Kluyveromyces lactis: one gene and its partners. The main gene of each other region encodes a partner of the protein of the gene in region 2 in a complex. Links are inferred from orthologs where the notes say so. Each region holds a gene or a part of one and is shown on either strand. Other genes may lie near its edges. The genes, in order: SSU72, PTI1, SWD2, CFT1, FIP1, PFS2 and YTH1.

The links.
Region 1: PTI1 (region 2) and SSU72 share a complex: the UniProt entries of both Saccharomyces cerevisiae proteins name them as parts of the APT complex. The link is inferred for Kluyveromyces lactis from reciprocal best matches to the Saccharomyces cerevisiae genes PTI1 and SSU72.
Region 3: PTI1 (region 2) and SWD2 share a complex: the UniProt entries of both Saccharomyces cerevisiae proteins name them as parts of the APT complex. The link is inferred for Kluyveromyces lactis from reciprocal best matches to the Saccharomyces cerevisiae genes PTI1 and SWD2.
Region 4: PTI1 (region 2) and CFT1 share a complex: the UniProt entries of both Saccharomyces cerevisiae proteins name them as parts of the cleavage and polyadenylation factor (CPF) complex. The link is inferred for Kluyveromyces lactis from reciprocal best matches to the Saccharomyces cerevisiae genes PTI1 and CFT1.
Region 5: PTI1 (region 2) and FIP1 share a complex: the UniProt entries of both Saccharomyces cerevisiae proteins name them as parts of the cleavage and polyadenylation factor (CPF) complex. The link is inferred for Kluyveromyces lactis from reciprocal best matches to the Saccharomyces cerevisiae genes PTI1 and FIP1.
Region 6: PTI1 (region 2) and PFS2 share a complex: the UniProt entries of both Saccharomyces cerevisiae proteins name them as parts of the cleavage and polyadenylation factor (CPF) complex. The link is inferred for Kluyveromyces lactis from reciprocal best matches to the Saccharomyces cerevisiae genes PTI1 and PFS2.
Region 7: PTI1 (region 2) and YTH1 share a complex: the UniProt entries of both Saccharomyces cerevisiae proteins name them as parts of the cleavage and polyadenylation factor (CPF) complex. The link is inferred for Kluyveromyces lactis from reciprocal best matches to the Saccharomyces cerevisiae genes PTI1 and YTH1.

Annotation. Positions count from the first base shown.
Region 1 is NC_006040.1:1,644,774-1,647,245, forward strand, and holds SSU72 (RNA polymerase II subunit A C-terminal domain phosphatase), read right to left. Parts: upstream 1,125-2,472; coding exon 501-1,124; downstream 1-500. Other genes in the region: GUD1 (guanine deaminase), read left to right, coding at 1-420; cysteine protease ATG4, read right to left, coding at 1,557-2,472. UniProt on the Saccharomyces cerevisiae protein: Component of the cleavage and polyadenylation factor (CPF) complex, which plays a key role in polyadenylation-dependent pre-mRNA 3'-end formation and cooperates with cleavage factors including the CFIA complex and NAB4/CFIB.
Region 2 is NC_006042.1:1,903,985-1,907,221, forward strand, and holds PTI1 (cleavage polyadenylation factor subunit PTI1), read left to right. Parts: upstream 1-1,492; coding exon 1,493-2,737; downstream 2,738-3,237. Other genes in the region: KLLA0_F20504g (sphinganine kinase LCB4), read right to left, coding at 1-445. UniProt on the Saccharomyces cerevisiae protein: Component of the cleavage and polyadenylation factor (CPF) complex, which plays a key role in polyadenylation-dependent pre-mRNA 3'-end formation and cooperates with cleavage factors including the CFIA complex and NAB4/CFIB.
Region 3 is NC_006041.1:1,607,009-1,609,851, reverse strand, and holds SWD2 (WD-repeat containing protein SWD2), read right to left. Parts: upstream 1,482-2,843; coding exon 501-1,481; downstream 1-500. Other genes in the region: ATP-dependent 5'-3' DNA helicase HCS1, read left to right, coding at 1-519; MCO12 (Mco12p), read left to right, coding at 1,750-1,755, 1,872-2,123; MND2 (Mnd2p), read left to right, coding at 2,442-2,843. UniProt on the Saccharomyces cerevisiae protein: The COMPASS (Set1C) complex specifically mono-, di- and trimethylates histone H3 to form H3K4me1/2/3, which subsequently plays a role in telomere length maintenance and transcription elongation regulation. Involved in mediating RNA polymerase II termination.
Region 4 is NC_006039.1:880,506-884,681, reverse strand, and holds the start of CFT1 (cleavage/polyadenylation factor CFT1), read left to right. Parts: upstream 1-1,376; coding exon 1,377-4,176. Other genes in the region: PRO1 (glutamate 5-kinase), read right to left, coding at 1-1,038. UniProt on the Saccharomyces cerevisiae protein: RNA-binding component of the cleavage and polyadenylation factor (CPF) complex, which plays a key role in polyadenylation-dependent pre-mRNA 3'-end formation and cooperates with cleavage factors including the CFIA complex and NAB4/CFIB.
Region 5 is NC_006041.1:534,517-537,142, reverse strand, and holds FIP1 (cleavage polyadenylation factor subunit FIP1), read right to left. Parts: upstream 1,389-2,626; coding exon 501-1,388; downstream 1-500. Other genes in the region: BUD4 (Bud4p), read left to right, coding at 1-287; transcription factor IME1, read right to left, coding at 2,286-2,626. UniProt on the Saccharomyces cerevisiae protein: Polymerase-regulating component of the cleavage and polyadenylation factor (CPF) complex, which plays a key role in polyadenylation-dependent pre-mRNA 3'-end formation and cooperates with cleavage factors including the CFIA complex and NAB4/CFIB.
Region 6 is NC_006041.1:644,318-647,624, reverse strand, and holds PFS2 (cleavage polyadenylation factor subunit PFS2), read right to left. Parts: upstream 1,860-3,307; coding exon 501-1,859; downstream 1-500. Other genes in the region: PFK27 (6-phosphofructo-2-kinase), read left to right, coding at 1-108; BSC6 (Bsc6p), read right to left, coding at 2,256-3,307. UniProt on the Saccharomyces cerevisiae protein: Integral and essential component of the cleavage and polyadenylation factor (CPF) complex, which plays a key role in polyadenylation-dependent pre-mRNA 3'-end formation and cooperates with cleavage factors including the CFIA complex and NAB4/CFIB.
Region 7 is NC_006042.1:760,494-763,097, reverse strand, and holds YTH1 (cleavage polyadenylation factor RNA-binding subunit YTH1), read right to left. Parts: upstream 1,134-2,604; coding exon 501-1,133; downstream 1-500. Other genes in the region: FUN14 (Fun14p), read right to left, coding at 1,350-1,856; protein phosphatase 2A regulatory subunit RTS1, read right to left, coding at 2,458-2,604. UniProt on the Saccharomyces cerevisiae protein: RNA-binding component of the cleavage and polyadenylation factor (CPF) complex, which plays a key role in polyadenylation-dependent pre-mRNA 3'-end formation and cooperates with cleavage factors including the CFIA complex and NAB4/CFIB.

The DNA of each region.
Region 1 (2,472 bases), on a different chromosome or scaffold from region 2:
TCTGATGTTTCCGGTGGTTTTACAGTCAGTATTTTGGAAAATGCTAGGCAAGCTTTACTAGTTTCCAGACATCGAGCAATGTCAGTAGAAGATCCTGAAAGAAAAGAGGAATGCAAACTATCTGTCGCCGAAGTATTGTATCTAGCTACCATGGGTGGTGCTAAAGTTTTAAATCTGTCTGATAAAATTGGTAGTTTCGACGTAGGGAAAGAGTTTGACGCACAATTGATAGATTTATCCACCAAAGGAAGCAACGTATCCATTTTTCCATGGCAAAAAGTTACCAACGACAAAATTCAACCGAACGGGAAGGATAGAATCAAACTGGAGAATATTGTGGCAAAATGGTTATTTAATGGTGATGATAGGAATGTTAAAAGTGTTTGGGTCCGTGGAAAATTGTGCCATCAAAATCTTTAACTAATCGTTAGCTTACAATTCCATCGAAATAAGTATGCAAAACAAGAATAGCATGATATATAACTCAAGATGAAATAGAACTAATAATATGCAGCAGAATAAGTTAGTGGTAGTTTTGGATATTTCTCTTGCCATTCAGTGAAGACATCCATTATAAAATCCTCAAATTGAGTTCCGTTTTTCTCACATTCAAAAACTTTATCTCTTAGCATATCTGCCAATCTTAATATTGCTCGCCCACCAATTTTAGCGTTTTCATTATCATCTTTGATATCGATATTGATAATATGTGCAATTAGATTAAGCTGACCACCTCTATTCATCAGGTCCTCGCACACAGAGTCGAAACACCTTTCTTCACAGGTAAAAACGAAATCAAAAACCTTTCTCCCATCGTGCCATTTCTCAGGAGCTTTTTTTAACTTCCTGTTACGATCTAACATTTCTAATACACCATTTTGCTTGTATCTATCTTCACTTTGAGAAATCAAGTCATTATATATATCATCATAAGGCGTACCAAATGAATACACATTTGGTTTATCTATCGAGAGACCTGGAAGTCTAACTGCACTTCCAGTACCGTAACTAGAAACATCATACCCTGCCTCTTCCAATACCCTATGGGACTCCATGGACCTGTTGTTGTTAGATGCACACACAGTACAGAACTTAAGCCCGCTATTTCTCATTGATTCGCTCATGCCTAATAGTTCCTCTTAGATTCGTAATAACTTTTAGTCAAATTATCTATTCTGGTAGCACTAAGCAGACAACACTGTATGAAAATGAGAGTTATAATAATTGAATATGAAATGCAAGTATGGGCTGTCTACCATTTCGGTTACCAATTATGAATATCTTGTAACTTTCATTGAAGCTCTTAACAAAGTCAATTTTATCAATGTGCAGCTAGATAATAATATTACCCGGAAATGCGACGCTTGTAATAATCTTAATAGAATTATAGATTGGTAATTAGTATAAGTTCAAGGTCACTTCCGTTACACCCGATTACCAAAGCCTGTCCTTATTTGTGGCTGAATTAGGTGCTTGACAGCCGAAGGATCCATATTATATAATGATACTAATATTTAATATAATATCTTAAACAAAGAATGAGGAAGATACAGCAGTCAGCAGGAGGATGAATCCTCGACAAGAACTTGTTCAACTTCAGGATCAGCTGGATCTTCGCAGACGATTATTCGCTGGCTTTTGCATTTAACATCTTCAAATTCTTCATCTTTTGGTTGCGGGGAGGACATTTGTTTGCCAGAAACTAATGTTCCAACATCAACGTATTCTCCAGTGTCCTGTATGTCTGACTCCAATGAGTGAATAGAATCAGAACCGACAGACATATTGGCACTTTGATATAAATCATTTTCTGGCCTGGTTGTCAAAAATTGAATAATTTGACTATCTCTGAAATAAGTATGAAACTGATCCCATTCATTCTTACCTGAAATTAACATACCGAGTAACATTGACGGATCTGTTTCTGATATATGCAATTTGTTGAATTTGTGTCCGTGACAACTTCGGTAAAATTCAAGATCATCCATCATTAAAGAAGATTGCTGAGTGTTGTGTGGATCAAGGTAGAAAAGATTTTCATTTTGATATCCAAAAAAGTATAATGATGACGAGGGTTTACCGCCTGCGATCCCGACAGAATATGGTGATGAGAGAATCTTGAATATGTCTTTCCAGTATAAGCTGTTGATTTTGTCAACACCCAACCTGACAGCAAACAGCAGAAGTAAATTAGCATCCCTATCCTTATGAAAAATTCTTGTGACCTCATCTTCGTATATATCTGCCGACTGAGTTGAAATTATACAATTCTTAATTCCACAAAGGGGAAACCCTTCAATCAATGTTTTTATGCTTCTGGCTGTTGCGCTTGGCCCAAACCACTGCCCAGGTTTCATTCCAGATATTTTCTCTTCTGCTTTGACAAAGTTGTGTAACGACAAAGGATATTTGACATCGTCTTGAAACCAACGGATCAGATTTAACTCATTATCATCTATTCTTGAAGCATTT
Region 2 (3,237 bases):
CGCTCAATTTTATTGTTTTTGGGACTAAATGGTTCCTCCTTGGCTTTGCAAAAGTGACTTCAATCAATGCAGTATGATCCGGCCATGGGGAACCATCATCTTCTGCTTCCATATTCGTGACATCAAGAATCTTTGCGTAAGGAATAACCGTATTTGAAGGTAGCAGCAGAGCTTCATTCTCATCTTTAGATTCCGTGTCGCTGAGACAAGTAACACAACTGATTAACGAAGCTGTTTCAAAAACACTAGATTGGAAGCTCCCAGAAGCATCGCCGTCTTCGTCATCCTCGTCATCGCCGAAATCACCTCCATTACTTCTGCGTGCCAAAAGCGTCGATGAGCTTGTTGAAGGACCGGACGTAAATTGATCTTTAATCAATAAACCATTTTCGCCAATGATGGCTCTTGTATAGGGCAAATGATACTTCCTGCTCAGCTTACTCATTATTCTTGCAGCCCTCTGTTTCCTTTTTCTCAGATGAAGGGAAATATCTGAATCAGACTCTGATCTCTGTTTGGACCACAACAGTTTTGGCAACTCAACAAGAATAATTAACTACCTCTTTTCCACCTTTACGTGAAAATAACGCAAAACAAAATCAAAAAAAAAGAGACTGATTCAAAATTGAGATACAGTCAAACAAGATCAATGACTATGTCTTCTGTTATTCTCTGATGAATCCTCTTATCAATACCTAGCTAATAAATCACAGGGGGTATGTTTTCGGGATGACGGATATATTACTGTTCCTTTCAGTTCAGTTCGATTTAATTTGATATATCTAACTTGAAAACGGAGAACACCAAATCGTTGTCATAAATATGATAAATGGAAACGTTTCTTGGAAATGATAATAAAGTATAGTACTATCCACCAGTTAAACTAGAATTCTCACAGACAAATTCTCTAAACAAATTTCCTAGGTTCACGATGCTTATATAAGAACCGATGCGCAATGCTTTTTTTATCAGACTGTCTTCTTGTCTAGATAACAAACCACGAGAGTAGATCCTTAGAACAATTTTCTTAAATAGTAGAGGCTTGATTAACAATACTCTGGCTGATATTGGATGTGGACAGAACAGTTTCTTATTCATCAATCATATCTTTACGTTTTAACTTCGAAGGCTTCCTGATTTTCGATTTCATGTAAATCTAAGAAATACAAAACAAAAGAAACATCAGTTGGCACGTGATATATAATCAATTATTACCCGGATATTGTTCTTATATGAATGTTAACTTAAAAAGATTCTAAGCATCGTTAAAGACTAACGGCCATACTAATGAATTAAGAAATCTGCTGTCGACTAGAAAGAATGAATATGTAATTATGTATGTTCGTAACGATTCATTGTGAGGCAAAATAATACTAGTTACTAGACACCAGTCAGATATTTGCGATAACAAGTTTGCAATTTAGAGAATACATATATATATCGAAACGGTGAAATACTCTTAAGTTGGTTTCTAACTAAACACAGTCAAAGTATGCATGACCCACAGAAGGATCCTCGTACTAGGAAAAGCAGGCATGAACTGACCCCGCACAATCTTTCATCTACCATACGTTTTACTGACATACCTGCTCAGTGGAACAAGGATAACTTCACATCTGTGATAACTGGTTCTGGATATATAGTTGACGTTAGAGAGAAATACGTGGATGAGGTCGAAGAAGCAGGAGAACGAGAAGGGGGAAAAGGAACTGGAGCTGGAGCTGGAGCTGGAAGTGAAAGAGGATGTCTTGAATGGGTAGATGTAGATTTCAGGGACTCTTCCTCCGCCAATAGGGCCCAAAATTCAATAAATAAGATAAACCATTTCCCATGTAGGATGTCCATGGTGATTCCCAAAGATTGGAAAGAAAAGTTAGAGAAAATAGACCAACTGAAACCGTTAGAGTTCACAAGAGACAATTTTCCCTGGGATTACAAATTAGAACTACCGTTTGAAATGGTAAGTGAGGTACCTTTACCAAGAAAGCCGTTGCCGGTGGTGCAACCAATAACAAGTGACGCAGGAAGCACACTATCCTCGGAGAATAACACTGCATCTACGAATGCTGCCTCGGATAACCTTGCCTCGAAGGCGAACGAGGCACCGGCACAGCAGATAGAGATCCCAGAGATCTTAGCACGGGCATCAAAGCATCTACCAGCATACCAACCGGGCTCGATGACTGCACCGGATGTGGTATCTCAAAATCTATCGAAGATTCCTACGTTACAAATGATCGAGATTCTATCAAACTTGAAGATCTTAGCCAACCAGCATAACAAGAAGCCACAACTGGAACAATTCTTGAAGACTAACATTGACTTAACGGTAGCTGTCACTCAGGCAATGCTAGAAATGGGGTTGATAAACTATCACGTGATATCAAATGTTCTAGGCCAAATGCAGGGCCAACATTCTGTTGGACCCACGCCTGCCGCAGCCGCGCCTACAGTACCAACTCTGCCGCCAGTTCAACTACCTGAGCCGTCTGTACCCCAGACGGCTCAAGGCATTAACAGCGGTGGTAACGGTACTGGTGGTGATATTACCACCACCGCTACAACCAACGCTGCCAACACCCCACAGCAGTTCAACGAGGCAAAACTTTCGCTACTGCCGCAAGATCAACAGAACATGATCAGAACTGCGCTTTCGATGCCCATAACGAACATAATGGCTCTTCCACCAGGCCAGCAACAACTAATACAGCAACTCAAAAACGACTACCTTCTATAGATAATAATAATAGCAATAACAAGAAAAATACATAGCACAATTCCTATCTCTTAGTCATCCATAATGGCTCGAAGGCTTTCTTTCTATCTATAGTGTATACCACCGTGTTTCCCAACCTAAAAGTTCCGCGCGCAAGTTTTCCTCTTTAACGACTTGGCTCATACAGGAAACTGAAAATGGAAAAAGCTGAAATAACCGACATTTCAAAACAGGAAGATGTCAAATGCATGCGGCGAAATGAAGGGAAACGAACGTCGAGGGAAATGTCTAAGGAAAGCGCAAAGGGAAAGAAATGCCGAAACGATTGGGCTACTATTCGAATGTTTTGGCGGTAGCTGCCGCCCTCCACAGCAACACGGAGCACTTTGTGTCAGGATCCTTTGGAGAGATTAGATAGATATTTGTTTATGTGCGTGTGTAAAAAGAAAAACTTGTCAAGTCCTCTCTTGCAGTAATCCGTTTCTGTTTTCAGTATGTTATATCAGGTATCATCAGTGCCG
Region 3 (2,843 bases), on a different chromosome or scaffold from region 2:
TGGTTAGATACTGAGGGAGACGACTTTCCAGAAAGGTCTGATGAAAATGACAACGATGCAGACGATAAGTTCCACCTAGTCTCTTCAAAATACAACGAAAATGAAGCATATTTGGCATTATACCACGTTGAGCAGTTGATAAAGGCTGGTGTTACGGAAGAAAGTATTGGTGTGATCTCCCCGTATAATTCACAAGTATCGCTGTTGAAAAAACTCATCCATGAAAAGCATCAAGCAATTGAGATATCTACCGTAGACGGATTTCAAGGTAGAGAAAAGGAGTGCATCATCCTATCTTTAGTAAGAAGTAACGAGAATTTCGAGGTTGGGTTCTTGAAAGATGAAAGAAGATTAAATGTCGCGATGACCAGACCTAAAAGGCAGCTTTGTGTCATCGGTAACATGGAAATGTTATCGAGATGTCGAGTGCCATTCCTAAATAGATGGGTGCTCTGGGTAGAGTCTGGCTTCGAAGTCATATATCCAGATCCCAGTATAATTCATTCGTTATATACGTAGAAATCTACAGTTTCATCTGCAGTGACAAACATGCTATATTTAGGATTGAATGCAATAGTTCTGGGACATGTATTTGGTGCGGCGTTAATAAATCCTTGAGGTTTGAGCGTCCTACCACTGATGAAGTCTGCGTGGTTCCATATCGCGATCTTCCCAGTGTAATCAGTTCCCAATGTAATGCGTCCATCTGGAGTGAACGTTGCGGATCCAGAATCCATGAACTCTCTCAATGGGAAAGGTTTAGTTCCTGATAATTCAAATAACTGTGTACCATCGAAGGAATCCATGATCAAATGTTTTCCAGCGGACGACGCAAGCAACAAATATTTACCATCGTTTGAAAACTCCAATTTATTCCACTGATCAAAGCTTGGATCCACATTTATAACTAAAAATGGGCCCGCCTTCAAATGTTTTACGTTATATAAACCGACTTCATGGTTCTCAGGGTTACCAATGGCGAACACAAGCCCGCTTGGATCGTAAGCAATGCATGTGGGGACTAAACTTGGTATAAGGGCCTGTGCCTTGGAGCTTCTCAAATCCCAAAGTCTTACCGATTCGTCATACGATGCAGACAAAAAAGTATCATCCAACGGGGACATTTGTATATCGCTCACTAGAGCACCATGGCCCTGGAAATATCTAAGGTATGTGTTTGTTTCAAGATTCAAATGCCTTATGTCAAACGATTTCATAGTGGATGAATAGATACATTCTGATTGCGCATGTGTAAACTTTGCGGAATGACATCCGTATTTTTTAGAAGCGATGGTATTCAAAAACCTGCAACTTACTGCATCATATAGATGCATATTATCACTAGCAGTTGCAGTCAACAAGTACTGGCCATGGTCATCAAATGTCACTGAAGTTATAGGTCCCAATTCTTTATCAGAAACTCTGAAGGACTTCACAGGCTCAAATCGTAGAAGATTGCTCTTGGAAATGCTAACAGTCATATTTCCTTTCTCAGCTAACTTTTAGATAATCACAGAACTGTTGCTAAACCGCTGGTGTCCCGTTGAGCTTCTCTTTTTGTCTCCAAATTGGTAATATTTCTTGATGGTGTTAACAGTTTTATTTAAATTTAAATGTTCCTCGAAATTGTAATGACATCTGTCAAAGAAATCAATAGTGTTAGTCACTTGCAGGTAGAGAAATAGAGCCTTTCTGGTCTTACTCTGGCTTTATAAAGAACTGACATATTTGAGATTTGTAATAAGAATCATGGGTGTACGTACCGTTCATTTTTTTGAAGAAGGTGGTTAGATACACCACCGTTTTCATCAACGGACTTTGATTTACTAACTAAAAGGTAATCTTAACTGCATTTATCAAATTCCAATCAGGTTAAAGATATAGTTCATTACAGTATTGACTTAGCGTTGTTGTCTATGGTATTGGCTGGATTGCGTAGAAGTAACAATTATGTTGTCGCTTATGAAATGTCTGACTTGAAGAATTATATTAAACGGTATCTTGACTGGGGAGAATACTTATTCGATAAGTTGGCTAACATGGCTGAAAGAAGTGCTTATTTTAGGAAACAGACTCCTTTTGACAAGTTCTTGGATCATATGGAAAGAAAGCGTAACCTGTAGTTACACCAATAACGTTTATTCAAACATACATACTAATATATAATATTCAGTTCTTTTTAGTGTCTTCTATCAATTCATATCAAATATAAGATAACTGGAGTGAATGCCATCAAGACGCCGGCGTTTAACTACTGGTAATTGGTGAGTAGTACAGCTCTCCTTATTTTTGTTGATGCTTTTTCTATTTCTTTTAAAATAAAACCTTTAAATCATGATTTACTTGTGTCCTGTTAAACACCACTGTGTCAATGGCAATAACAGACATTAAGAGGCTGTTCACAAAATATTTTTGGAGACAGTAGGCTTTACAAGTAAGATATGGGGCTTGGAGAGTTTATGTATGGCCTTGATGCCTTCAGACAACCTTCTGCACCATCCGATTTCAATAACATTCCTTTGATAAACAATCTACGAAAAGAGCTTCTGCAAAGCAAGACAAGCAGAAAAGGGAAACCGGTGAGTTGGAACATTGATAAAGATACCAAGAGACGGATCAAGCCTGGGAAGAGATTGATTCCTCTTGCGGCGTATACTTGCCATAGTGAGAAACCTTTAATTGCCAATAATGACGGAGATGTGTCTGATTCCAATACCATTAACATTCTAGATAAATCGACACTATTGCTGATAAGATCTCTTGGCTACTCAAGTTTGCGACCTATTGGCATTGATAAAACCCTAAAAGAGATCGAAAAGGAGAAGGGAAGTAAACAGAACAAG
Region 4 (4,176 bases), on a different chromosome or scaffold from region 2:
TTCATGGAAGCTCCCTTGGACTTCAATAACGCCTGCAGGTAACAAACCAGCTTTGTTTTTCCTCGTTAACGCTTCGTATGCACCAATGTCTATAATTACAGCGCCTTGACTGACGAGTCCATGAAGCATCCAGAATTGTCTGTTCTTCAAGTGATGATGATTACTATTGGCAATAAACCTAGTATGAAGAGGAACATGATTATTAACTAAACTTTGCATCTCAGTGAGTTGTAGGTCAGCCAAATCTTGTGTAAGTTCATTCACGCCATCGTCCCTTTCCTGCATGTAGAGAACAATTTTGGAAATGTTTTCTGGAGTGTCGCTCTTCATAATGATGGTATGGACACCAGCATTGGTTGCTAATTCTGCCGCAATAAGCTTAGTCTTCATACCACCAGTTCCAACATCTGATCCAGATCCACCGTCTGTGTTCACACCTGGCAATCCTTGTGATATATCTGGAACAACCAAGATAGGTTTTGCATCGGGATTTGCTCTTGGATTATCAGTGTATAAACAGTCAACATCTGTCAATAAAAATAGATAATCAGCACCAGTCAACGCTGCTGTGATAGCTGATAATGTATCATTATCACCAAATTTGATTTCGCTCACAGATAAAGTGTCATTCTCATTAACGATTGGCACTACTCCCATGGAAAGTAATTCACTAATAGTATTCTGTGCATTCTTATACTGAGTCCAATCAACAATGTCATTTCGAGTAATTAGGATTTGAGCAATTCTCTGATCAAATTCAGAGAACAAGGAATCCCACCTCCCAATTAATCTGCCTTGGCCCACAGCTGCGATTGCTTGCACCTTGGATAGTTTCTTTGGCCTTCCCTTCATATTCATCGTTTTCAATCCGACGGCGATACCTCCACTAGATACAATGATAACTTTGTGTCCTCTTCTGCGTAACTTTACCACAGTCTCCACAATCAATGACATGATAGAAAGTTTTGGTTCTTTGGTCTCTTCATCAACTAGTGATGAAGATCCCAATTTTATGACTATGACGAACTGCTTTACCATCTGAACTTGTTGGAAAACGTTCTTCTTCTCGCGGTCCGTAGAAACCTTTGGTTACAGAAATTTCAGGCCAGATTGACTAATAGCTGCTGCTCACAGACAGTACACTATGTTTATATCTGTTTTGCAGATGCAGTTATTCATCTTTTCAAATGGTCTGCAGATGTCATCGAAACATTTACTTTCAGTTTCTGTGAATTTTTAAATATTCACCGGTTCTTCAAAATATAGGTAACTATCATTACTAAGAACACTGGAAACAGACGAGCGTAGGTGGGCATACTAGCACTCTTCAGTCACACCTGAATCTGAAACGTTTAAATATCGGGGATAGATAATAAATGAACGTTTTTGACGAGATATTGCAACCCACTGTGGTTAATAAATGCTTACATGGGAATTTTACGTCAGCGGAAAGGGAAGAATACGTTGTTGCAAGAACCAATGTTCTCTCTGTATTCAGGGTCTCGCGAGCACAAAAGCTTGTACTTGCATATGAATGGAAACTAGCAGGTAAAATCATAGATATGCAATTACTGCCCCAAATTGGATCGCCTCTTAAGATGCTTGCAATACTTTCGTCGAAATCCAAAGTATCGTTGGTAAGGTTTGACCCAGTGGCAGAGAGTCTTGAAACACTAAGTCTGCATTATTATCACGACAAATTTGTCAATTTAAGCACTTCTTCTTTGAAGACGGAGTCCATTATGGCAGTGGATCCATTGTTTAGATGTCTTCTGGTTTTTAATGAAGATGTTTTAGCTATATTGCCATTGAAACTGAACACAGAAGATATGGAAATTGATGAGGATGAGAACGGAATAAAAGAGCCAATGGCTAAACGCTTAAAAAGGAACCAAGGAATCACATCCGATAGTATAATAATGCCAATTTCTAGCCTTCACAAGAGTCTCAAGCATGTCTATGATATAAAATGGTTAAATAATTTCAGCAAGCCAACTGTGGGAATATTATATCAACCGGTACTTGCGTGGTGTGGAAATGAAAAAGTACTTGGAAATACTATGAGGTACATGGTTTTGAGTTTAGATGTCGAAGATGAAAAAACCACCGTGATTGCTGAGCTTGCAGATCTTCCGAACGACCTGCACACCTTGGTTCCACTGAAGAGGGGATATGTGTTGATTGGTGTCAATGAATTATTATATATCAGTGCATCTGGTGCACTACAATCGTGCATACGATTGAACACATTTGCAACGTCTTCAATCAATACAAGGATAACTGATAATTCTGACATGAATATCTTTCTATCAAAGAGTTCAATATATTTCTATAAAGCTTTGAAAAGACATGATTTGCTTATTTTGATAGATGAAAACTGCAGGATGTACAACATTATTACAGAATCAGAGGGTAATCTACTTACCAAATTTGACTGTGTACAAGTACCGATTGTTAACGAGATCTTCAAAAATTCAAGATTGCCGTTGTCGGTATGTGGTGATCTCAACTTAGAAACTGGCAGAGTTCTTATAGGTTTTCTCTCAGGTGATGCAATGTTTCTGCAACTTAAAAACTTGAAAGTGGCATTTGCAGCAAAACGACAACTTGTTGAAACTGTTGATGACGATGACGATGAATACAGTGCACTTTATGGAGAGTCTCAAAATAATACTCACACCAGAATCGTCGAAACACAAGAGCCTTTCGATATATCATTGTTGGACTCCATTTTCAATATCGGTCCTCTAACATCTCTTACTATTGGTAAGGTCGCATCTGTTGAACCAACTATTCAGAGACTTCCCAATCCTAACAAAGATGAATTCTCAATTGTAGCTACATCTGGAGTTGGGAGGGGATCTCACCTCACTGCATTGCATTCCACTGTCCAGCCCCACATAGAACAAGCCTTAAAATTCACAAGTGCGACCCGTATCTGGAATTTGAAAATAAAGGGAAAAGACAAGTATCTTGTGACTACAGACGCTGATAAAGAGAAAAGTGATGTATATCAGATTGATAGAAATTTTGAACCTTTTAGGGCGCAAGATTTTAGAAAAGACAGCAGAACCATCGGCATGGAAACTATGGACGACGATAAACGTATTTTACAGGTAACTTCAGGAGGATTATATCTATTTGATGTTGACTTTAAGAGGTTAGCAAGATTAACTATTGATATCGAAATTGTTCATGCGTGTATTATTGATCCATATATTCTATTCACGGATGCTAGAGGTAACATCAAAATTTATCAACTAGACTCTAAAAATAAAAAAAAATTCATCAAATTTAAGCTTCCAGAGGCTCTCAATGAAATTATCATCACATCTGGTTCCATTTTCAAGAGTAACATTTGCAACAAATTCCTACATGGATTGGAAAACTCTTCACAAGAACAGCTTCTCTTCACATTTGTAACGGGCGACAATCAGGTTATTTTCTTTACCGAAAAGCACAATGACAGGATATTTCAGTTAAATGGTGTCGATCAGCTAGAAGACATGCTTTTTATAAGTACGTATCAGATTCCTGAAGAAATGAACCCGGACCCATCAATAAAGCAAATCATGTTAAACAGATTGGGCCATCATAAGAAAGAAGAATTTCTAACTATTCTTACGTTTGGTGGGGAGATCTATCAGTACAAGAAGTCGACAAAGCACAGCGGTAAACTCTTAAAATGTAAATCCCATCCTCTAATTACCGGTGCTCCTAACAATGCATACCCTCAAGGAGTTAATAAAATAGAAAGGGTTGCTCATTACTTCCCTAACTACAATGGATATTCAGTAGTATTTATTACTGGTCAAGTACCATATATCATAATCAAAGAAGATAATTCGGTATGTCGGATATTCCGGATGACTAATATACCTATTGTCACAATGGCTAGGTGGGGTAAAAACTCTGTGATGTGCGTAGATAATATTAAAAATGCAAGAGTAATGAAATTAGATCCTGAATGTTATTATGGGAATACTCAGATTCTTAGAAAAATCATTATTGAAGATGTTGTTGAGGAATTTGAAACTTTAGGAAATATTGCGTACCATGAACGGACCGGAATGTATATCATCTCCTATACCAAATTCATCGAATATCAAGCTCTAAGTGAAGATGGTGAGCCCCTTGTAGGTTACGATCCAAGCAAACCAAATAGTACTGGGTATA
Region 5 (2,626 bases), on a different chromosome or scaffold from region 2:
CCAGAAAACCACAAACTTTGTTGAATCTTCTAAACGTAGTAGATATATACTCTGATGGTAAAACGGCAACTGGAAAACAAATGAGAAACTTTACTGATATGGTACTTTTCAGCGATTGCTTCAAACTCCTTTTTGCAAATGATGAAGTTATAAATTTTAACGCTGATTCTAATCTTTTAAAACAACAATGGGTTGAAATTTTGACCAGCGTTGTTGAACTGAATAAATTCCATCAACCATGGATCAAAAGAGTTTTTGAAAACGAACAATACAACATTACTTTTTAAACTGTTATAGTATTCAGATATATAGTTTGTCTTTGCCATTTTTTTTGAAGTATAGTATATTAATGTCATTTCTCTAATTATAACAAATGTCAACATGAGGTCTTTAAAACTAAGCTGTGTTACAATTCCATCAAGGAATCGAAAATACATGTACATGTCCGCTATATATCATTAATGTTGCTTGCAATCAATACGAGCCTCAAGCACTAAATTTCATTTCTTGTCGTTGAGATTATTATTGTTGTTGTTGTTAATGTTGTTCATGTTGTTCATGTTGTTCATGTTGTTCATGTTGTTCATGCTTGATACATTTTGATTTTGCATGTTATTCATCATACCCGGAAATGGAAATCCTGGGAAACCACCAAACATGGGGGGAAGTCCCATAGGCGGAGGAGGAGGTTGGATTGTATTCTGTACAGGTTGTCCTGAACCTGGATCATTTAACTTTCCTTGCTGCTGTAAAGCTAGGAGGTTCATCAAAATCTTTTGTGGGTTGTATTCTTTCGTCAAATGTTCTTGTCTATGTAAATATTCCATCCAAGTCTGTTCATTAAATCCATAATTGAAATAATCTGAAATATTCGCTCCTGGTTGTCTCCAGGGCTTCTCCTTTAGAATTTCTGGATCGATCTGTACTATAGGTTTCCCATCGAATTGTGCATCCGGGTTCAAATCAATAGTTTGTTGTTGCTGCTGCTGCTGTTCAGGTGGTATTGAACCCTCCTGTACAGGAACCACGTCCGATATACCAGCCACTGCTGCAATAGCATGATCCGCTGTACCAAGAGGCGTTGTGTCTGTTATAGCAGATATCTGGGACTTACCAGAATCTATCTTAGAGGTATCGTTACCAGTTCCGATGATAATCTCAACATCTGAATCTGAGTCACTGCTGTCATCCTCATCTGATGAACTATCCTGATTGGAGGCCTCACTCTCTACCTCATTCGTATTACCTTCCGGTACATCATGAGCTAGTATCTTGGGTGTTTCTTCGACCTTTTGTCTTTTCAATGCAGGACCCTCTTGCTTTGCGACTACGTTAGAATCCTCCTCATCGCTGTATAGAAACTTATCGTCTTCATCCTCACTGCTCATAACGATTCGTTTCTATATGTCGTTCGTGGACTGGTAGAAGATTTATCAATAAATGCTTGGAAAGTTTGGAAGGCTGCGCAACCCAAAAGGTATCTTAACAGGAAGATAGTTCTTCTTCTCATATAGAAATCAACTAATAGTTAACTCTCAATGCTAAGATTTACCAAAATGATGCTGTTAAATCGACGCATATCCGGGTAAATTATTGTCGTATTCAATGACAAACATTTCTAATGAATATCTGTCACCGGACAGCGGACAGCGACTCAGCTTGTTTGGACGGAATGTATAATATGGGTTAAATGTGTAGCTAATGAGAATACATGATTTACAGAAGAATTAGATGTGCATGTTGCGGACAGTATCGATTTCCGATGTTAACGAACTTGAAAGAATATGCGATGGTAAGAATTAAAGATATGGAAAAGTAACAAGGGAAACCAAAGAAAAAAGTGCATCTTATTGACGAAGCATAATACTTTGTCCTGTTTTTTCAGAGTAAAAGTGTGAATTAATTAAAAAAATTGACAGAAAACAACAGAGGAAACAAACATTACAGGCGAGTGAGTGTCTTTAATGTGTTGAAAAGAGTCAGACATTGTTGAGAATGAATGTTCAAAAAAGTCGATTGTAAACTGCAATTGAGAAGTGAATGTTCTTTTTTGAAGTGTTTATGGGACCTGTAAGGTTGACTAAACATGGTCACCTTGTGTCCGCACCCACAGAAACAAAGTAAAAAAAAAAATGGAAGGTAATTTGAAATGAAGTAGAGAATTAGAAAGGAATGAATGTAAGAAATATGATGAAGAAGGAAAAAAATATGCAGGTGTATCATACAGGCAGTCTATAGCAAAGGGGGAAAAATAATATCTGGATAAAAGGATGAGGATTGTTCCATCAAAAATACGTCTTGGAGAACTTGTAATCAATTTCTTGGAATCTAATCTTATCGAAATAATCCAAATCGTTAGAATCAGCCAAGAAATACCCAAAATAAGGTAGTAACTTGTTAGTTAGCGTGTAAACAAACTGATCCTTTTCCGAAACGACCGAATCTTTCTTTGAAGATGAAGAGGAGAACATGATGGGTGCCACCAATGCACGTTGCTGTTTTTTCTTCACTGGAGCCATGCACTGCAAGTCATTGTCCAAATCTTGCTCGTCTTCTTCCAGTAACACGTTGATACTTCTTGTAGAAGAGAAAACAGAACTGTGTCTTGTGTCAGCCAGTGAAGGTG
Region 6 (3,307 bases), on a different chromosome or scaffold from region 2:
CCATCCTCTTCCCGTGATAGATCTGATGCCATAGATGAAAATGTCCGAAAATCCAATATAATGACGTTGCACGAAAGTATCAATGATACTTATCTACAAACGTTGTAATCTCTTATACCATATGATTTGGCTATATTTATTAGAGTTTGAATGCCAGTGCTCCTTGCCAATTGATACACCAATTATAAAAAAAATATTAATGACGAAATGATATCTTATAAATTTAATGACCTTTTGACCGCCAGTTGATTAAGCGACTGGAATTGTAACGACCTCCTAACACTTTTTTGTTTTTATTTCTCGGTTCTTTTTAACACTTTTATATATTCAACAACTACTGATTCTTTTTTTACCTATTTAGTATAGTATTTTACTCGTTAACCTCTATTTTAGTTTATTCAATCGATACAGTCTACTTATTAATGATGAAGAAAAGGTAGATTTACATTTAATCTGCTTAAATAATATTGATGCTATAATTTCCATGACTTTCAATTGTCTTAAAAACTTAGGCCTGGTAATCCTGATCCCAAACCTGGTAAAGTACTGACAGATGGTCGCTCAGGTTCAACTGATCTGGAACCGTCGCCATTTTCATTATTATTGGAGTCTTCACTTGGTGGCAAAGCAACACCGTGTTCTGTTTTGTTTCTGACAGCATTAATGTTATTATTGATACCGAAGTACCAAGCATTAACTTTTTCATTGTTATATGTTGGATCATCAAAGGCGTTTGGATCGACTGCTCTCGATCTCGTCCAGAATCGAATAGTCCTATCTTTCGAGGCGCTAGCCATGATGTGACCAATTGGACTATATGCTAATGATGTAACACATTTTTCATGTGCATATGGAATGTTGTGTGTAGGTTTGTTTGGCTGATTTTCCTGGGATAGATCGAAATGTTTTATAGATCCATCATAGCATCCAACGGTAAACACTGTTTCATCGATTGGATGCCACTGTAATGTCATGTAGTCGACATCATCACGAACACTGAAAAGCTCTTTAGCCTGTTGTCGTATATCATATACCTTGCATGTTTTATCCTTCGAAATTACAGATAGTAAGTTTCCCTGTTTGGGTTGGAATTTCGTCGAGATGATAGTATGTTTAAAACCAAGCATGGTGGATACGCAGCTACCACTACGCGGATCCCAGAATTTGATAAGATTGTCTTTGGATCCTGATACGATTAAACCCATCTTCGGATGCCAGTCGCATGATTTGACGTCCCAATGATGGCCTGATAGCACCCTTTCTTGTTGTCCGTTGCTAAAGTTCCATATTTTCAACACATTATCATCAGAACAACTGACAAACTTCTGGTCGGTCGGACTAAACGATATTTCCCTTACACATTCCATATGTGCTTGGTCCATGACTTTAACCATATTAAAGTTTGGTTGCCAGATCTTAAGCTCCCCATCAGCGCTACCACTAACCATCCAATCCCCTGTATGTGAGTATGTCATCACGGTTACTGCACTATCATGAGCCTGCATAATACTTTCGAAATTGAAACTGGATCCACTCCATAATGAAAACTCTCCATTGTATGTAGCTACCACTAACCTTCTTCCTTCTGGCGTCCACGTAAGAGCCGGAATAACGTGCTTTACCTTATTTGATGAAAGATGCGTAAATTTGGTTGCTGTATTGATGGCATGCCCATGAAAACCATAGGCATCTGGCGGTAGTATATGAGCATTATATGAGGTTTCTGCCTCTATATATGACGAATTCTCCTGGCCATGCTTCTTCAAGAAATATAGTCTATCATAAGATGCAGAAATGTCAATTGTTCGTCTTTGCGATGTATACTTTTTAGTTGTGGTGCCCTCGGTATTAGGATCCATGCTATGTCTTTTTCAAGCTGAGACCAGGCTGTGTTGAAATTTCTGAGAACAGTATGAATAGTAGTTCACCTAAGTTTCGTAATGTGAAACGTTGGCCGTGTCTTTTGATACATGTTTTATGCATTTCCTACCTCTCAATATCATTAAATGCAAGTAATATTCTGATTTCGGTAGTTTTTGATGCCAGCTCGATGTTGAAGTTGCTTCAAGTAAAGAAAAAAAAATAGATCACGTGCAGCAGACCTTAAGCATAAGAATGAAGCTGATTCAATTACTTCTGTAGTATGGATTTAAAATACATATGTCCGTTAAGAAGTAGGAGCGATTCCCCTATTATATATAAGTAAATAATTTCCATGCGCGGCACGATATTCATATCTGTTGAGCTTGAGTAATTTATAAGTACTCTCTATGTCCTTTGATAATTTTCGGGTAGAGCATCCAAACTATGTTGAATGCCAAAGAACCAAGGAAGCATAGAAATGGATAGTATTGGAACCCAAAAATCTTGTTTGCAAACCCAAAAGAGTATGTTATTAATGCACCACCACACCCTCCGAAAGCGATTGCTGTACCAATACCACTAACTTGTTGATGTTTCGGTAGGATTTGGATTGCAACAACACTTGCGTTAGGGAACAAGGGACCTATGAAGATACCAGCGCCAAAGATCATCAACGATAAAACAAAGAAATAGAATGTCGATGTGGAATTGATTAGATTGATGATAACGAATAGGAAAAAAAACAATGAACAAGTCAAACCGTACCAAACGCTTGACCTGTATTCATTTTTGAACCTTTTTGTAACAAAACCAAGACCTAATCTACCGATAGTGATCCCAGACCAGAATGACGCAGTAACAAATGACATAAGGAACTTCTCACCTTTCTTATAATTCAACAAATATGTGAATAGCCATGTCCCAACACCAATTTCTGTACCTAAGTACAAGAATAAGAAAAATGCATACAAGAAAATCATCGGAGGATACTTCGATAACTGGTACCATTTTATCTCTTCCTCATTTTCAATACCACCTGATTCATCGGGGACTCCTACACAGATGTATCTGTATTTGGTAGCAGTTTCGTATTTAAAGGCCCCCATGCAGAGTGCCAACCCCACAAGAGCAAACACCAAAGGGACCCAAAAGATATAAGACCAATCCAAATAATGATCGAAGGTTGTAACTAATGGTGGGGTTACACCAGCGGCCAACCCGTATATTCCATGAAGCAAACCCATCCATTCATTCTTTCTAGTCTCTAAATTACCAAAGTAGAAATTACCTGTAGAGTCAACAAACCCAACACACATACCTAGCGGAAAGAAGCATATCGCATAAAGATAGAGCGAATATGGTTTTAGGGCAAGAACCAAGTAGGTAAATGCAGCAAGTATACATGATGCTGTCATTACGCCTCGAGACCCCCATTTTTTATGCA
Region 7 (2,604 bases), about 1.1 Mb from region 2:
AGGTACCGGTCGACAGCCTTGCTGTGATGCGAGACTGCCATCCCAGTAGCTGGCTAGTGCCAGTTATAGGTGTATTAGAAAACTGACTTCAAGAACTCACGCTGTTGCCTGGTGTACATTCATGCGTCCGCTCTCAGGGTTAATGCTTATCAGTATTGCAAGAAAAAAAAGAAACCGAAAGAAACTGTGGAATGGAGTGTTCTATACTGGGGAATATGTCGACCGCGTGTCCATAAATGAAACTCAGCGAATGATTTTGGCTGAGAGGTCTGATACCTATTGGATAAGCAATTTAAGGTATGTGAGCCTTGGTTCCCTTAATTTTTCAGGTGTGTTGCTTTTGCTGTCGGTTGATAGAATTATCCGGCTGTAACATTGTGTAGTATTATGTTACTTAGTATCTGTATCTGTATCGAATTACGTATGGTGAGCTGAATAGTGAATAGTGACAGCAGCAGTGGCTGAGAACGAACGCACTGATGAAAACTGAAAAAATTCAGTCACGTGACTAGGATGTCACCGTTGATAATGGCATTCAAGCGTCTTTCCCTTTCCTCATCCATCTTTCTTGTATTAATATGCTCGTCTTTCTTGATGCGCAGTTTGCTGTGTTCTGAAGGTACTTTGAATTTGGGATGCGACCAGTCGCAATCTTTACCCAGTGGACAAAACCCTACCAAGTATCTGGGGCAAAGTACCTTTTTGACATGTTTCTTCGTGCATGCAGGTCCCGATGGACAGAACCCCATATTATAATCCTCACATTCTTCTAACTGACTCTTGTGATCTACGTGCAAGTATTGACACTCCGGTGATTGTGTACAGTACCCGTTCTTGGTGAAGAATACACACTCGGGCATCTTTCTTAGGTTATACTCGTGTAAATATTCACATTGATCGTTCTTCTTGCAGAGACCTCGGAGCCAGTGCTTACAAACAATCTTGTTCTGAAATATCGGTAGCACATGCTTGTTTGGACAGCGTGCTCCGTTGGGACAGGATTTTATCCCCTCTCTTGAATTATAGTATTGGCATACCGGTCTATCTGGATCTAACGAGAACGAATATTCTTTCCGTAGAAATGGCTCGAAATTAAACTCGTACTTCGAGGTATCTGGATGAACTATACTCATTAGTTTAAACTCCCTTATCTCCTTGACAACCCAGTCTAATGTAGCCTACCAGTCGTTTATGAAAATGTCTTTGATGATTGGTAATTAATCATGTTACAAGCGAGTTACACACAATAATTATTTTACTAATTCTTAAATATAACGTTATAGGATATTCTGGGTTTTCACATGAGAAAAAGTCACGTGAACTGAATAAGGTAGCGTTCTCGGAACCAATCAGACGTTAAGTGCAGCTAGCACAAATGTCAAGATGAATGAGACTTTGAAGCTGGGTTTGTCCCAGATCAATGTGTTCAAATCAATCCTCTCACGGCCGATGGTCACAACGTATTTGGAAAGAGAACGAGTGCTGTCACTGCTGATAACTCCCCTGTTCTGCAAGAATTGTAACCCAACGAATCCAACCCCGGTGATGAACACGAGAAGACTTGATATCTTACCAAAGATAACACCGAACACTAGACCTAAAATTGACCCGTAGCACATTTGTCTGTAGTTGACTCTTCTTTGCTTCGAACTTATATCAACACGGCTTGGCAATCCAAGCTCTTGTGGTAGATTCGTTCTTTGCTTAACATCAACAATTGAATCGTTCATGATATATGAGCTTGGTTGCATCGAGTGCAACAACGATCCACCACCGACTAATAAACTACCGCTGAATCCAACATAAACACTTCTTCTTAATGGCACGCCAAGGTTTCTTGCTGCTGTTCTGAACATCTTTCCTAATTCTTTACCTATTATGTCGATTGGTCTGTCTTCACTCGAGGATATAAAACACAATTCTGAGTTGAACTAAATGAGACTGATTTCTAACCGAATTTCTTCGTTATCGAAAGATTAAATTATAAACAGTGATTTTGTCTACGAATTGTCGTTTTCTTAACTCAATAGCAATTTGCACGTACTTCTCAATATTTCTTTATATAGCCATACTGACGATGGAGCCTGCGACCCTTTTTTTTCAACCGATGTTGAAATTTAAGAATCATACAAAACCCAACATGCTGAAAAGAATAGGATTTGGGTGACAGTCATTATAAAAAAGAATATATAGAATTGTCAGTTAGAAAGTGATAAGCGGCAAGTTATCAGTCAAGTAGTACCTTTATTACTATTTTATATGTAAATTAAGGCCTCCTATTTGGGTTGGAAATCATTTGTCGTTTACTGATATATACGGAAACAATTCTATGTTCGGTGAAAAAGACGCGTAGATATAAGTATATACATAACTTTTACCGTGATGATGATGATAATGAAGACGATAATAATGATTTGGTGATGGTGAGTCCGTAAGGATGATAGTGGTCACTTTTTTTCAACTTTCTGCGATCTTCAACTTCGAAACGTAATCCTCTAATTGTTTCCAGTTCATTTCCCTCTCTTTTTGACGTCTGTTGTTTTCTTTCAAACTAGATATGTAAAGTGCGTTGCAATTTTCGTATAAGACATTGTTCGTTTCAAG